Linked DNA regions of Stegostoma tigrinum. The protein of the gene in region 1 interacts with the protein of each later gene in a pairwise test. Links are inferred from orthologs where the notes say so. Each region holds a gene or a part of one and is shown on either strand. Other genes may lie near its edges.

What was found.
Region 2: the proteins of lemd3 (region 1) and smad1 interact in binary tests that used the Homo sapiens proteins (3 or more experiments, as listed by UniProt). The link is inferred for Stegostoma tigrinum from reciprocal best matches to the Homo sapiens genes LEMD3 and SMAD1.

Annotation. Positions count from the first base shown.
Region 1 is NC_081371.1:39,258,207-39,266,230, reverse strand, and holds the start of lemd3 (inner nuclear membrane protein Man1), read left to right. Parts: upstream 1-4,864; 5' UTR 4,865-4,915; coding exon 4,916-6,167; intron 6,168-8,024.
Region 2 is NC_081354.1:46,819,959-46,827,783, reverse strand, and holds the start of smad1 (mothers against decapentaplegic homolog 1), read left to right. Parts: upstream 1-4,787; 5' UTR 4,788-4,888; intron 4,889-7,825. UniProt on the Homo sapiens protein: Transcriptional modulator that plays a role in various cellular processes, including embryonic development, cell differentiation, and tissue homeostasis.

The DNA.
Region 1 (8,024 bases):
GACTCCCTAAATTTTATTGTAATTAAAGGAAGTTGCAAGGCTTAAAGATATTGCTTTTGTTCGGCGAAAACAAATCACTGCATATGAATATATGCCACTTTCAGCAAGCATAAATGAGCCATGTTAAATCTTGATGGATTACTTTAAATTGAGTTAGTGCAGCTATTAGCACAATCAGGAAATTTAACAAGTGCTACCCAATTGCGAAATCAGATCTTACAGCAGTAATTTTAAATTGGCTTTTGGCTATTTCAAACAATTGAATAAACGTGTTGTTTGATTCAGTCATTCTTTTGTTATGGTGTACAACTTACTTACATGGCATTACACCATCAATGAAATTATACACAAGGTTGTTCAATTATGTGTTAGTTTGATTTTTTTTGGATCAATAACAACATCCTGTAAGTTGAAAATTCCATTCATGTAACTATTGCAGAGTAACAGTGTGAAATTGTTTTATTTTGTTGAAATTTTAGATGTTTTGCCTTGCCAGGGTATTTTAGTTACATCAGACATTTTTCAGGTTTGGCCTATTTGCAAGTTAATGCAATCCATAGCAAAGAATGACCTGATCAGGACAGCCATTGTCACACAGCATAACATTGGATAAGCTCTGCATGAAGAGCTTCTAAGGTGAGCAAATAGCTAACACCCTGTTTAAAATCTTGCTAATTAGGCAAATCCTACAAGGTGTGAAGCTGTACAGATGTCAAAGATGAAGGAAGGCTTGCAATATAAAATAATGGAAAACCCATCATAGATTATTGATCCAGCAGGTAGACAGAGGTGATGGCTTAATGGTATTATTATTGGACTGTTACTCCAGAGACCCAGGTAATGTTCTGGGGACCCGTGTTCAAATCCCACCACAGCAGATGGTGAAATTCAAAGTCAATAAAAATACCTGGAATTAAGAATCTAGTGATGACCACAAATCCATTGTCAATTGTTGGGGGAAAAACCCCTCTGGTTCACTAATGTCCTTAGAGGAGGAAACAACCATCTTTACCTGGTCTGGCCTATATGTGACTCCAGACCCACAGCAATGTGGTTGACCCTGGACTTATGTTAGGGAAAGAGGGCATGTTACACTGCTGCACCTCAAAAATGAGTTTGAACGTCTAAAAATTGGTAGCTGGAATATTATGTCAGAAAATGTGAGTTTATGCACTTTGGTAGGAAGAAGAGTAGTTGAGTATTATCTAAACAGAGAAAGACTGCCAGAACCTGCAGCACACAAGAATTTGGGTGCCCTTGTGAATAAAATCACAAAGAAAAAGCATACAAATTCCCAGGTAGTAGGGAGGGCAAATGGAATTTAGGTCTTTGTTTTAAAGGGAATGAAATGTAAAAACAGAGAAATCTTATAAAAACCTATGTAAGGTAGTAGTTAGAGATAACAGATGTAGAGCTGGATGAACACAGCAGGCCAAGGAGCATCTTATTATCTCTAAGGTAGTAGTTAGACCACATTTAAAATACTGTGAACAGATTTGGTCCCCTTATCGACGGAAGCATGTACTGGTATTGGAGGCAGCCCAGAAGTTTACTTCATCAGATATGGAGGGATTTCCTCATGAGGGGTTGAATAGGTTGGGTCTGTATTGAGTTTAGAAATATGAGAAGTAACATTGTTGAAGCATATAAGATTCTTAGGGACTTGACAAGTTTCATATAGTGAGGTTATTTTCCATTGTGACATATTCTCAGAGTAAGGCATCATCCAGTTAGGACAGGAATGACAAGGGAACTTATTCTCTGAAGATAGAGAATCTGAGGAATTCTTTACCATGGAGGGCTGTTGATGCTGGGTTATTGAGTATATTTCAAGGCTGAGGTAAACATATTTTTAATCAGTAGAGGCACAAAGGTTAGAGTGGAGGATTATCAGCTACATACACATTTCCCTCCAAATGGCACACAATTATGATTTGTAAACATAATTGCTGTTCATTCACTACTTGGAAATCATCAAAGTCTCTATCAAACAACACTGTAGGTGTACCTACCACAATACAGATTGCTGTGGTTCGATAAACCAGATCAGCATCATCTGCTCAATTAAGGACAGGTATAAATGCTGATCTTGCCAGCACTGTCCAGATGATTATTAAGAAAATTATGGAATATACTGCAATAGGTTTTCTCTTAATTGTTCAACTTTATTATTTCAATAATAGTTTTAATATTAAAACAGAAATCAGAGACTATGTATTTACCTTGCAGTTCTTAGAAATAACATGAAACATCTACGAATTAAGGCAGAGTCCCATGGACATTACTATGAGTACCCATAGCTCAAAAATCACACAACACCAGATTATTGTCCAACAGGTTTATTTGAAAACAAAGTGTGGAGCTGGATGAACACAGCAGGCCAAGCAGCATCTTAGGAGCACAAAAGCTGACGTTTCGGGCCTAGACCCTTCATCAGAGATGGGAATGGGGAGAGGGTTCTGAAATAAATAGGGAGAGAGGGGGAGGCGGACCGAAGATGGATAGAGGAGAAGATAGGTGGAGAGGAGAGTCTAGACGGGGAGGTGGAGAGGGGATAGGTCAGTCCGGGGAGGACGGACAGGTCAAGGAGGCGGGATGAGGTTGGTAGGTGGGAAGTGGAGGTGCAGCTTGAGGTGGGAGGAGGGAATAGGTGAGAGGAAGAACAGGTTAGGGAGGTGGGGATGAGCTGGGCAGGTTTTGGGATGCAGTGGGGTAAGGGGGAGATTTTGAAGCTTGTGAAGTCCGAATTGATACCATTGGGCTGCAGGATTCCCAAGCCCATTATCTCTGAGGTTTATTTGAAAATACTAGTTTTCAGAGCCTCACTCCTTCAAGTGTTAGTAAGAGAGGTAACATCAGACACAGAATTTATAAGATCAAAGGGTCATAGAACTGACGCAAATGTATTGAAAAAAAAACTTAAGAAGGCTGTAAATCTTTAATCAGTTAGAAAGGAGATGCAGGTTTTGATTGATTAATATGCAAATCTAAGAATTTCTTTCAAGTCACTGCCCTGAGATAACTATAGGTTTTATCAGTATACCATGGGTGACATCTCTGGTCAGACAATGCGTTTTAGATGTGAGACCTCGTTTAGAACCTTCTGTGTTTTAACTTGGAGTCAGACTGATTTTATTTCCAAAGTAGGGATTTATAAAATGCCACATTGACTGACTGTCTACAAATTGTGATCAGAGATAATGGGGACTGCAGATGCTGGAGAATCCAAGATAACAAAGTATGAAGCTGGATGAACACAGCAGGCCAAGCAGCATCTCAGGAGCACAATGTGATGAAGGGTCGAGGCCCGAAACGTCAGCTTTTGTGCTCCTGAGATGCTGTTTGGCCTGCTGTAATCATCCAGCTTCACACTGTTGTCTACAAATTGTGTGCTTTTTGAACAACACGGGATATATCTACAATTACAAATCTGCAAATCTATAAATTCCTACTTTGGAAATAAAACCAGTCTGATTTGACCTTGTCCACCCTAGTCCAACACCGGCACCTCCAGATCATAAGTGACCATAGGAAAAATCAATACATAAGTTGAGTTTTTAATTATCATTTTATTTGAACAACATGTGTATTGAAGTAATAGCATTGAAAATGGGTAGAAGGGTGTTTACCTGTGAAAAGGTGAGAGCCCACTCGGATAAAGCCTTTTGGAACATGTCCAACAAAAGTTGGAAATCCCAGTTCCATATCAGTTACCTGTTTTCCACATCTGCAGAGACAAACTAATGTAGCAATAGGAACCGAATAGAGAAAAATAGATCTTAGAAAAGGACAAACTGGAATGACATATGTGGAAAATAACGGAATTTGTTTCGGTTATGACGATGTCGCTGGACGGCTCTGAAACTGCAGTCATCACCTGTGGCGCAATTACATGATTTGCTGCGGTTCAAGGAGGCAACTTATTCTCACCTTTTAAAGAGCAACTAGGCGTTTGCTGCCTTGGACGTTGATACTCACATCCCATGAGCGAACAAAACCATTTTTAAAATGTGCAGGCCGTCTCACTCAACCAAATGAAAGTCTGGATTCTGATTTTGGCTGCACTTGGACTGTAACCGGGGTTGCCGTTGTGATGCCCGAATATTCCTTGGACGTCCCACAATCTCAAGACAAATTACTGGGCTGGCAACGCAAACACAGGAATGTTGTTTCATTTTTGATTAAACTAATGGTGAAATGTAAAGGAACAACAGCTGAAGAGAGCTGGAGGAGTGGAGCGGGTTCGCAAAAGCTGAGCGTGTCCCAAGTCGAAGAAACTCAACAGTTCTGGCATCATCTGTGGACAGGAAGCGGAGTTAACGTTTCGTACGCAGTGAGCCGCCTTCAGAATCGGAAACAGAAGTTGCTGGAAAAGCTCAGCAGGGTCTGGCAGCATCTGTGAAGGAAAATAAAAATCAGAGTTAACGTTTCAGGTCCGGTGACCCTTCCTCAGAACAGAAACCTTCTTCAGAACCGGCCAAGGCTCAATGGACATGAAGCGCTAACTCTTGAACTGAAGGCAACAAATGCTAGAGATCACAGCGGGTCAGGCAGCGTCCATGGAGAGAGAGCAAACTAACGTTACGGCTCATCATGACTATTCATTGGAGCTGACTTACCCACACCACCACCACCCGAGCTGAAAGCCTGCTGAGGCGCTTCAGTATTTTGTTTTGTGTTTGGCATTTCCCGATCTTCAGCACCCAGAGTTCTCGGTATCATTCCCAAGTCGACTGGAATGAGCTGGCCAGGTTAACAGAGAATGGGGGACGTTTCCCTTTTAAGGCCCCTCTCTTCCTCGGCCAGTTTAAAGCACTGTGCGCCCTCCCGCCTGCCGGCTCTACTCCCGGGGGCGGGGGGTGGTGCAGCGAGCCTGTAGCGTCACTTCCGGCAGTCTCACGCCTCGCGCGGTAAGATGGCGGCGCAGTTAACGGACGCGGAATTGTTTTCCGAACTGAAAAAGTTCGGTTTGGTCCCGGGTCCCGTGACCGAGAGCACGCGCCCCGTCTACCTGAAAAAGCTCAAGAAGCTGCGCGAGGACCGCGGCGCCAGGCCTAAAACCAGGAACGGCGGCGGGACAGGCCCGAGTTCGGGCCTGGGCCTCGGCGTGTCGGCCAGCCCCACGACTAACCCTATCACCCCGGGCAAGCTGCTGGGTTTCAGCTCGGACGAGTCGGACGCCGAGCTCAACGGCAGAAGGAGCGACGCCGGCAAGAGGACGAGCAGGACGGATAAAGCTCCGGGCGACTGCCCCCGCCCGCGGCCTAGTCACAGCAAGGGGAGGAACACTCCTCCGAGAATGGTGAACAGCAACAACAGCGGCGGTGGTGCGGGGCTTTTGGCTGGCAAAGGGAACCCCACCCCTTGGTGGAGGCCGAATCCATGTGGCGGCGTCCAGCAGTCGCCGGAGGAAGAGGAACGACCTCCGGGAACCGACATGCAGAGCCACAACAACAACAGCAGCAGCAGCAATCGTGTCTCCTACGTTAGGGAGGATAACTACTCCGATTCCGAGGATGAACGAGAAGAAGAATCGAGCCGGAGGCCCAATTCCAGGCGGAGTCACTCCAAGAAATTACAGGCCACCGTTAACAGTCATAACCCGAGGGTGATCGTGGAGGAGAGCGGCGCCGGCAGGAGAGGCGGCGCCAAACGGATCCACGACGTCGCCGGCGGTCCTTACTGTCTAGACACCAGGAGAGACCAACTAGAGGAGGAGGAAGAGGATCAGAGGGAGAAAGACGCCACAGCGGAGCCCACCATGTTATTGCGGTTCCGTAATTCCTCTTCCAAAAAGATTAGTCCAGGACTGCTGGCTGCTGAAAAGGAGAGACTTTACATGAGCAGCACCAGAAACAATAATCACGTCAGCACAAGTAATTTTATTACTAGTCCGAGTGGCCCTTCGTCCTCCCTTTTGATCAATGCTAATCACTCAAACCATACGGGCAGTAACCACATCTACAGTACATATCGCAAAAGCCCCAGAGAGCCTGAGGAGGAATTATTGCAGCAATTTAAAAGGGAGGGGGGTTCGGCAACCGGTGGATTCAGTGCACACTACTTATCCATGTTTCTTTTAACTGCTGCATGTCTATTTTTTGTCATTTTGGGACTTACCTATATAAGGATGAGGGGTTCAGGAGGAACAGAAGGAGTTCTTAACGGTAAGTGTAGCAATGGAAGCATCCAAGTTTGCAGTGGGATAATGGCAAAATGCCAGACAATTTTAATCTGTTCAGAAAAGTGGTGTCTGTCTATTGAATATGTATAGCGAAGTTGGTGTATTGCATTATCATTTTATCTCCTGGTTGTGGTAAACTAGTTCTAGTCGTTGCACTGTTTTCGTCAAGGTTACAAATTACCGTTTTAAGAGTCAACCATATTTGATTCTGCATTTGTAGCCAGAAATAGTTAATTGTGAGTTAAATGTTTCACCTGGTGAAATATGACAGAATAATTCACTTGTGTATTTTGTACAAAATATTACACTTACAAACCTCCATTCTAGCAGGACAGATCTACTGCCGTACGGTTTTTCCCTTTCTTGTTTTTGAAATTGTGATATGAAGCCATTTGTAGCATCAGTGTTTTATTATTGTATTCCTGCATTCTTTAGTCCAATTTCCATCGTGCATTTCAAAAACAAGGCTTTCAACCTTTAATGTAGTTGTAAATAATATTTTCAGTTTAATATTAGTAAAATCTAGGAGAGTGAAATCTTGGTTGGATCATGCCTGTGACGTGTATATATGTGAGCTTTTTATCATTTTAGCAGCAGAAATGTAGGGTTTTTTAAAAATTTTGAACTGTCATGTAGTATTTTGGCACTTCACATCCCTTCCAATAATACCAATGCCATTGCGTTGATAGCATTATAACTTGAGCAGAGAAAGCTCATTTTATTCCTGTGGAATTTGACTGACTAAATGTATTTAAATCTCAACGTTCTTATCACTTAGGTATGTTTCAGAAAAATACCTTTTTTTTTGAAGGTGTACTAAAACATCTGGGTCAAATGTGCTTGTCTTGCTCAAACTGTTACTTCCAGTTGATCATTTAAAAACCACTAAGTTGTCATTGACAGTGTTTTATATTCACTTTATTTTGTCAACTGTGTAGTTGTGGAATCTAGTAACAAACTGTGAAATACTTTCATAAAGCCTTGGTTTTTGTCTTGTTTGAATATATTTTAAAAGCTTTTAGGGCTCCCTCCAGTTTCTCATCCATATTTGCCCCTTGGCATCATTATTGCAAGACATAGGACTCTCAATTTGTTATGGGAAGGCATCTAACAGCTGTTGTCATTTAGTCGGGTTTCCCTTTGCACCCTCCAGCTCAGAGTTACTGGAAATGCAAACTGATGAAATTTGAGATGGGGAGACAATCAGTTTGACTTGGAAAATTTTTTTGACAAGTTGCTGTGTATGGATGAGGGCATTTGACATAGTCGACTTGAACTTTTGCAAGGCTTTTGATAAGATCCTACATGGGAGACTAGTGGCAAAGATAAGAACAGTCTGTGGAATCCAGTGAATTTTGGCTAATTGGATGTGGAATTGGTTGAGTGTCAGGAAACAGAGGGTGATGGTCAAGGGTGTTTTAGTGACTGGAAGCCTGAGAGAAATCAGGTTCTACCACGATCATTTGCTGTTTGTTATGTTTAAATTATATTGATTAGTAAGTTCACCACCACCTTCTCGAGGGCAGCTAGGAATGGGCAAAAAATGCTGGCCAGCCAACGACTCCCACATCCCATAAATGAATAGAGAAAAGAAAGTTCACAGATGACATGATAATTGGGGTTAAAAACAGTAAGGATAGCCTTAGATTATATAAGGATATAGATGGAAGTCAGTGGAAAATGGAATTTAACCCGGACAAGTATGAACTGATGTACTTGGGGCAGGACAGACCAGACAAGAGAATACATAATGGAGCAATAGGAACCTGGGCAGCGCCGAGAATCAGAGGGACCTTGATATGCATGTCTTCTCGCCCTTTTAAGGTAGCAGAACAGGTAG
Region 2 (7,825 bases), on another chromosome or scaffold:
AATGCAGTCTCCTCTATATTCTTCAGCAAACATAACTGGAAAAAGATTATCACAGAAGTCTTACAGCACAGACAGAGGCATTTGTGCCTGCATTGGCTCTTCCAACAAGCATCATTACCTGCTGCTGATCTCCTGCTTTTTCTCTATACATTTGTACGTTATTTTTATTTAAATAATTGTCTAATGCCCCCTTGAATTGCCTCAGTTGTACCTGGCTCCACCACATTTTCAGACATACTAGACCATACCCGAACTATTCATATCTTCCTTTGCTTCTTTTGCAGGTTACTTAAAATTTATGCCCTGTTACTCTTGTTCTTTCATAAACAGGAACAGTTTCAGCTTACTTACTCTTATCCAGCTGTCATGACTTTGTAAACCACTACCAGATCTCAGCTTAGCCTTCTTCTGTACAAGAACATTCCTCATAAATTGTTGATTGAGTGGGCAAATGCATGGCTGATGCAGTATAATTTAGATAAATGTGATGAATCCACAATGATAGCAATAACAGGAAGTCATAATATTATCTGAATAACTGCAAATTGAGAGACTGGAAAAGTAAAATGTGTAATGTGACCTCATCCTGTTCAGACCAACTGGCGAAGGTATTCACTGACATCTTCAACTTGACCTTCCTACAAGCCGAAGTGCCCACTTGCTTCAAAAAGACCGCCATCATCTCCGTACCTAAGAAAGTGCATGCAATGTGCTTTAATGACTACTGCCTGGTGGCTTTGACATCAATGATCATGAAGTGCTTCGAAAGGCTGGTCATGGCCCACATTAACTCCAGTCTCCCAGCCTGCCTTGATCCACCACAATTTGCCTACTGACATAACTGGTCCACAGATGATGCCATATCCCTAGCCCTGCACTCATCCCCAGAACATTTGGACATCAAAGACACCCAACTCAGACTGCTACTCATTGACTACAGCTCCACCTTCAATGCCACTATCCCCTCCAGACTGATCACAAAGCTCCATGACATTGATATCAGCTCTGCCCTCTGCAACTGGATCCTCAGCTTTCTGACTCACAGCCCACAATCAGTGAAGATAGGAAACTGCACCACCTCCGCAATAACACTCAACACTGGAGCCCTCCAAGGATGCATCGTCAGACCCCTACTGTACTCCCTTTTTACCTATGACTGTGTTGCTAAATTCCAAATGAATGCCATCTATAAGTTCGCTGACAACATCACCGTAGTGGGATGGGTATCGAAAACACGAAAACAATGAGACAAACTACAGAAAGGAGATAGAAAGCTTGATGACGCGATGCAATGAAAAAAAATCAGTCTCTCAATGTTGGCTAAACTAAAGAACTGATCATTGATTTCAGGAAGAATGGAGAACACACCCCATATACATCAATGAAACTAAAGATGAGAGGGTGAAGAGCATTAAGTTCCTTGGAGTTACGATAGCCAACGCCCTGTCCTGTACTTGCTACATAGATGCAACAGTCAAGAAGGCACAACAATGCCTTGTCTGCCTCAGGCAGTTCAGGAAATTTGGCATGTCCATATGCTCCCTCACCAACTTCTACAGATGCAACATTGAAAGCTTACTGTCCGGGTGCATGAAGGGCTGGTATGGCAACTGTTCTACCCAGGGCCGTAAGAAACTACAGAAGGTGCTGTGCACAGCCCAGACCATCACAAAAGCCAACCTTCCATCCATGGACTCTATTTACATGGCTCGCAGCAGCGGAAAGGCTGCTAACATCATCAAAGACCCATTGCACCTCAGTAATGATTTCCATGAACTCTTCAGTCAGGCAGAAGATACTGAAGCCTAAATTCACGCACGAGCAGGTTCAGGAACAGCCTCTTCCCCACCATTTTCAGACTGGTGAATGGACTGTCTAGCCACAAATAATGTTGATCTTGCTAATGTTGATCTCACCTAGTGCACGCTCTGTGCAATGTAACCTGCATGCCTCTGTCTAAGTCTTTTTGATCTGTGCATCCTTTGTTTACTATGATCTGCCTGTACCACTTGAAAACAAAGCTTTCTATTGTATTTTCGTACCAATGACAATCAATCAATCAATCAATCGTACAATAGTTGCTGAGTTAAGGATGTGGACACGGCAGCCAGTAAAGACAGCAAATGGTATGCTGTGCTTCATAGTGAAAGGAGTTCATGTGTAGGACCAAGGTTGTCTTGCTGCAATTATACAGGGCCTTAGCGAGACCACACTGGAATATTATGTGCAGTTTTTGTTCCCCTATCTGATGAAAGATGTTTTTACTAGTGAGTGCAGCCAAGTTTTACTTGACTGGTTCTTGAGATGCTGGGACTGATGCATGAAGAAAGGTTGAATAGGTTAGGATTATACTCGCTAGTGTTCAGAAAAATGAGGGGTGATCCACAGAAACTTTAAAAATTCTAACAAGACTAGACAAGGTGGTTGCAGCAAAGATGATTTTGATGGCTGGGGAGTCCAGAACCAGTGTCACATTCTAAGGATACAGGATAAACCATTTAGGACTGAGATGAGGATAAATTTCTTCACAGAAAGAGTGGTGAGACTATGGAATTTGCTAGCACAGAAAGCAGTCGAGGGAAAACATTGTATGATTTCAAGAAAATATAGTACTTGGGGCTAAAAGATGTGGGGTTAAAGCAGGAACAGTTTATTGAGTTGGACGATCAGCCATGATCAGAATGAATGGCAAAGCTGGCTCGCAGGGCCAATTGGCCTACTCCTGCTCCTATTTTCTATATTTCTTTGTAGGCCACTTCTACACTCTCTCCAATGAGTTCACATTCTTGTTATAGCATGTCTCTCAGAACTGTACACAATATTCCAACTGAGATCTAAGAAGAGTCTTATACAAGTCCAACCTCACCTCCTGGCTCTTCTACTTTATGCCTCTGTTAATAAAGCTGAGAATACTTCATGCTTTATTAACTGCTTTCTTGCCACCTTCAATAATCTGCACGCATGTACACCCAGGATCTTCTGCTCCTACACACCATGTAGACATGATCCCCCCTCTTTTAGATCTTCTTCCTGCTAAAATACATCATACTTCTTAACATTGAAACTCATCTGTCACCTCCCTCCCTCTCAACCCTGCCTCCTTGACCTGACACAACCTGTCCAATCGTCTCTCCCACCTCACTGACCTATCCCCACCACTGCCTACCTGCACTCACCAATCACCATTCCGCCTACCTCTCCCAGCCTCACCCCTCCTCCCTCTGTTTATTTCAGCTCCCTTCCTCTTTCTCCATTTGAGAAGAAGGGTGCTGACCGGAAACGTCAGCTTTCCTCTTCCTGTGATAGTGCCTGGCTTGCTGTGCTCCTCCAGCTCCACGCTGTGTTATCTCTGACTCCAGCACTGGCAGTTCTTACTATTTCTAAAGTAAATGGTAGTTATCTTTTCCCTAGGATGGGGTATTTCAAGCCTGGGGACATATTTTTACGGTGAGAGGAGAGAGTTTTGGAAAAAGACGAGGCAAAGTTTTTACACAGAGGGTGGTTCGTGTGCAGAATGAATGTCCCGAGGAAGTAGTGGATGCGAGTACAATTAAAGCACTTAAAAGACATGAGGATAGATACATGAATAGAAAGGGTTTGGAGGGAAATGGGCCAGGAACAGGCAGGCGGGACCAGTTTAGTGTTTGGGTTGGACTGAAGGGTCTGTTTCCTCGCTGTATAACTACGATCATCAATGGTATTACCACTATAGAACCTTTCTGCTACTTCTTCAAAAAAACTCCAGAATGAAGATTATTTCCCCTTTCAAAATCCATGCTGACCCTTGTTAATCAATCCACCTTTTTTGTTAATATTAATTCTATCCCGAATAAGTATTCATCTGATTGTAATTGTTCACCATGGAATTTTACTATGTGCGACTGTATTTAGCTGCTTAAGGTGCAGATCAAAAGCAATCCATTGTATAGCACGTTTGTTCTGAGGCTGTAAACCAATGCCACAGATATGTAAATTCTTTCTTTTCCATGCTTCTCTTTTAATCTTTACCAAACATTCTTTTGTTATTTACAATCCTGATTTTTTTTGGCTTTTATTCCTAAGAACTGCATGAGGATTTCAACGGTGAGACGCAACATATTTCTTCAGCTTTAAAAATGCAAATAAGTTAAATGAAATTGTAGATAAATTACTGACGAAACAACAATTGCATTACAAATCAAATTTGTTTCGAGGTTTTTTAATGCAAGATAACTCGGGGAATCATTTTCATTGGAGTCTGTAGAAATGCTTACATCACTGGTTCAAACTGGGACTGATTTGCTTTAATAATGCTTTTCATACTTATAAGTTACAGGATCTTAACGTGAATTAGAACAGATCTGCTTTTAAAGTTCAGAATGGAAGGGACTCTAGTAATGATTAAAAAAAACTCGAAAGAACTGCGGATGCTGGAAATCAAAAACAAGCACAAATTGCTGTCAAGAGAAAGCCGAGTTAACGTTTCGGGTCCAGCGACCTTCAGTACGAGTCTTCTGATAATATTTGTATATACAATGAAGATTCAATTCTTCGAGAAATGAAGAGAAAATTAAATGAAAATAGATCAAATGAAATCGCGATACTCAAAAAAGTAAAATAAGGAGCCGGTATAAATGATTACTTAATAAACTTAAAACAAACATGAATAAGACTAGAGGAAGAAAACAATGCGTTGTTTGAATGAAAGCTGCCTAGTGCGTTTAAGAGTTGAACAGCTTCGCTCTTGTTGGAAGTAGTTGGGAAAGTAGTGCGGCTGGTCGGCGAGTTAATCCATAGCGCGGTGAGCAGTCGCAGTCTGCCTGACGCCGGAGCTTTGACTGTGTTGCGGTTGCTGGAAGTGCTGCCGATGGAGCGTGAAGGAGAGGGAGGCTATTTGGTTGGCGTTCAGGTAAGACAGTACCACAAGTTATTCTTAATTGTTTAATTCCTCTTCGTTGTTCGTACACTTTGCAGCAGTATGGAGCAGATGCACTTTTAAAGGAGGGGAAGTTATTGCCTTTATTCCCACACCTCCCCTTAGAAGTACTTTTAGCACAACATGGCGTCACCGGGAAAACGGGGAGAAAGTGGAGCCGGTCCGTTCGGACCCCGACAGTAACGTACATTAACGACCGGGAAAGTTTGCTCAAGTTTTTGTTGTGGGAGCCTCCATTCTGAGCTGTAAACTCGACTCGGCGAGTCTTTCTTCTGAGGGACGGGGTTGACTTAAACTGCAGCGCCGTGTGATCCGCTGCGAAAGATTTCTCTTTTTATAAATGGAATTTAATCGAGAGGATGCGACTGATCTTTCTTTCCTTCGCAGCCTCGTCCGGTGATGGAATAACGTTCCTCACTCCAGTTTCCACCGAGGGGAAGATGTTTTAATAACCTTTCTGAGCGTACACCCCAGACGCTGTTGGGTTCACGAATCTTTAAGAATCTTGGACCAATGCTTACGTTTTATTTTTCTGTGTTGTCATAGTTGATTAAGAGTTTGTGGAAGTGATTTATTTTTATCTGAGTCTTGTGTAAATCTTTTGAAACTAGCTCCTCCATCTTCCCGGCTCCTCGATTTCCATTTCATGGATCATCACTGGGTGAACTGAGGAAGGTCTCAAATGTGCCACGTTTTTTCCCGTATTAAAATAAGAATTTTGACCGTAGCCTCTTTGCAAAAAAAGAGAAACGCTGAAATTAAAGTTGTACGAATACTTGCATTGAAAAAGGAAGTTTCAGTATAAATTATTATGCCATATAGGAAGTGTTTGATATTTAAGTACTTTGGTTTGTCAAAATACTAGTTCAGAAAATATCTGAAGTAACTGCTTTTTGCCGTTCTATAGAAGAATCGTTAATATTTGCTTTGGTATAAAGAAGATATCTTCTGAAGTTAGCTTGCCAAGAGCTTTTGCCCTGAATCAGTTTCATCTGTCCTGTTTATTAATCTGTTGTAGATGGATGCCACAGGTACTTTTATACATGACTGAAATGCCCTGTGTGGATCAGCATATTTTGATTGTGTGATCTTTGTGCAGTATATTTCTTTTATCTGTGCTTGAGATTTTCTTTCTTCTCTGTGCTGATGCATTATCTGCCATGCATCCTTCTTGGCATTTTGACAAGAATCAGTTCAAGGCAGGGATTGAGTTACTGAAAGGATAAAAAATTTGTCCTTGTGTGGATTTTTAAAAAACTTCAGTCACTTTTCATCACCTTCGCAAACTTTTCAGCAAACTTCTTAGTTTTCATGCTGCGACCAAGCTTTTGGGAATGCCCTGAACCTTTGATTTTAATGTTAATTTTAAAAAAAATTAGAACTTTTTTTTCAGTTATGTCAGGCCTTTGATCTGTATCTGAAACTAGATTTAATGTGGCAGTTGGTTATTATTTGTTCAAAAAAACCAAGATCCAAATTCAGAACAGAAATCAGAGTTTTCACTTTGCAGAATATATTAATATGTTCTGCATTTACTTTTTAATTTCAAAATCAGCATTTGTTTTTCAAGAATATTTGAGATTTAAATGTGAACTGAAATTGCCTTTTCAATAGCTAATACAGGGAAAACAAGAAAAACTCAGCATTGCAAGCATTATTCACCTTATGCATATCATACAACTTTGTAAATTATTTCTAAAGGTGTTTTCCAAGCCTGAGGCCTCAGTTACAAGGAAGAATTAAGTTCTGTTCCCTTTATGCTAAATGCAAATATCATTACACATTCTGACTGCCCTTGTGTCTCCATTTTTGTGTTGTATATCACACAGCTGGAAATAGTACAAGTTAGTCTGTAGCTTTTGTAGAACAAAGGAACCAGATAGTCTAGGTGGGAAATTGAAAGAAATTACTCAAATAAGGCAATTACTATTATATCTTTTTCCTTATCTATATGATGCTACTTAAATGTTGGAAAAGCTCTCTCAGGGAGCCCAGGTTCAAGTCCCACTTCCCCTGAAGTGTGTATAATATCGCTGAACAGGTTGATCTAAAAAAAAGTTGGGAAACTTTCACCAAGACAAACTGAGCCAAATGTTCACCAGTTACATTACCTGCATGATTAAATGAACAGAATAGAATAGCCTTTTTTTGTCACGTATAAACTTTTCACCATACTCATTGACTATACGTTACCTATGACAGTGCCAGCTTAGGTACAAAAGAACCTTGGCACGATTCCTTTAGTTACAAGATTTACACATACAGAAATAAAAGTTCAGTACAGCAAACCATGCTGGCACCTAGCTTCCAGTCCACATTGAACACCGGCTCCGCATTATGCCAGCAAAATACCATGCTGACAGGTTGCTGCGCCAGGGTGGGAGGCCAGGGTTCATTGCTGGAGGATAAGAGTTGAAGAGGGGAATAAAGAGCAGAAAAGCTTGGAGTAAGAAAAGAAGAACAGGCAGAGTGGACAAGCTCCTGCTGGAGCATCCTACTCCGTCACCATCTTGCACAAGGAAGTTGATTTAAATTTTAACAAACTTATTTTACTTCTCATCATCATTACTTGAAATGAAAGCATCCTCCAGTTCTGTACCATGTATGCTCCAACCTGTCATGTACAATGCTGTTGTATTTTTAAATTTCTGAATTACAGTTTCTGGAGGAAACACTGCTGTCCTTTTAAGCATAATTGTCAGCAAGATTTTAGTATGATTTGGAAGTTGAGTAAGATTGAAAATGTTGAATCAAGAATCCAGTCTTAATTCATCAGTGGTTAATAGGCAGTTTCCCTTGCTGAACAGTATGGTCAGCTTAGTCTTTATAACTGTGATACTGATGACCTATCAGTGTAGAAGTGGCAGTAACAACAATGAAATTTAGAATCAGGAGTGACAATTGAAATCT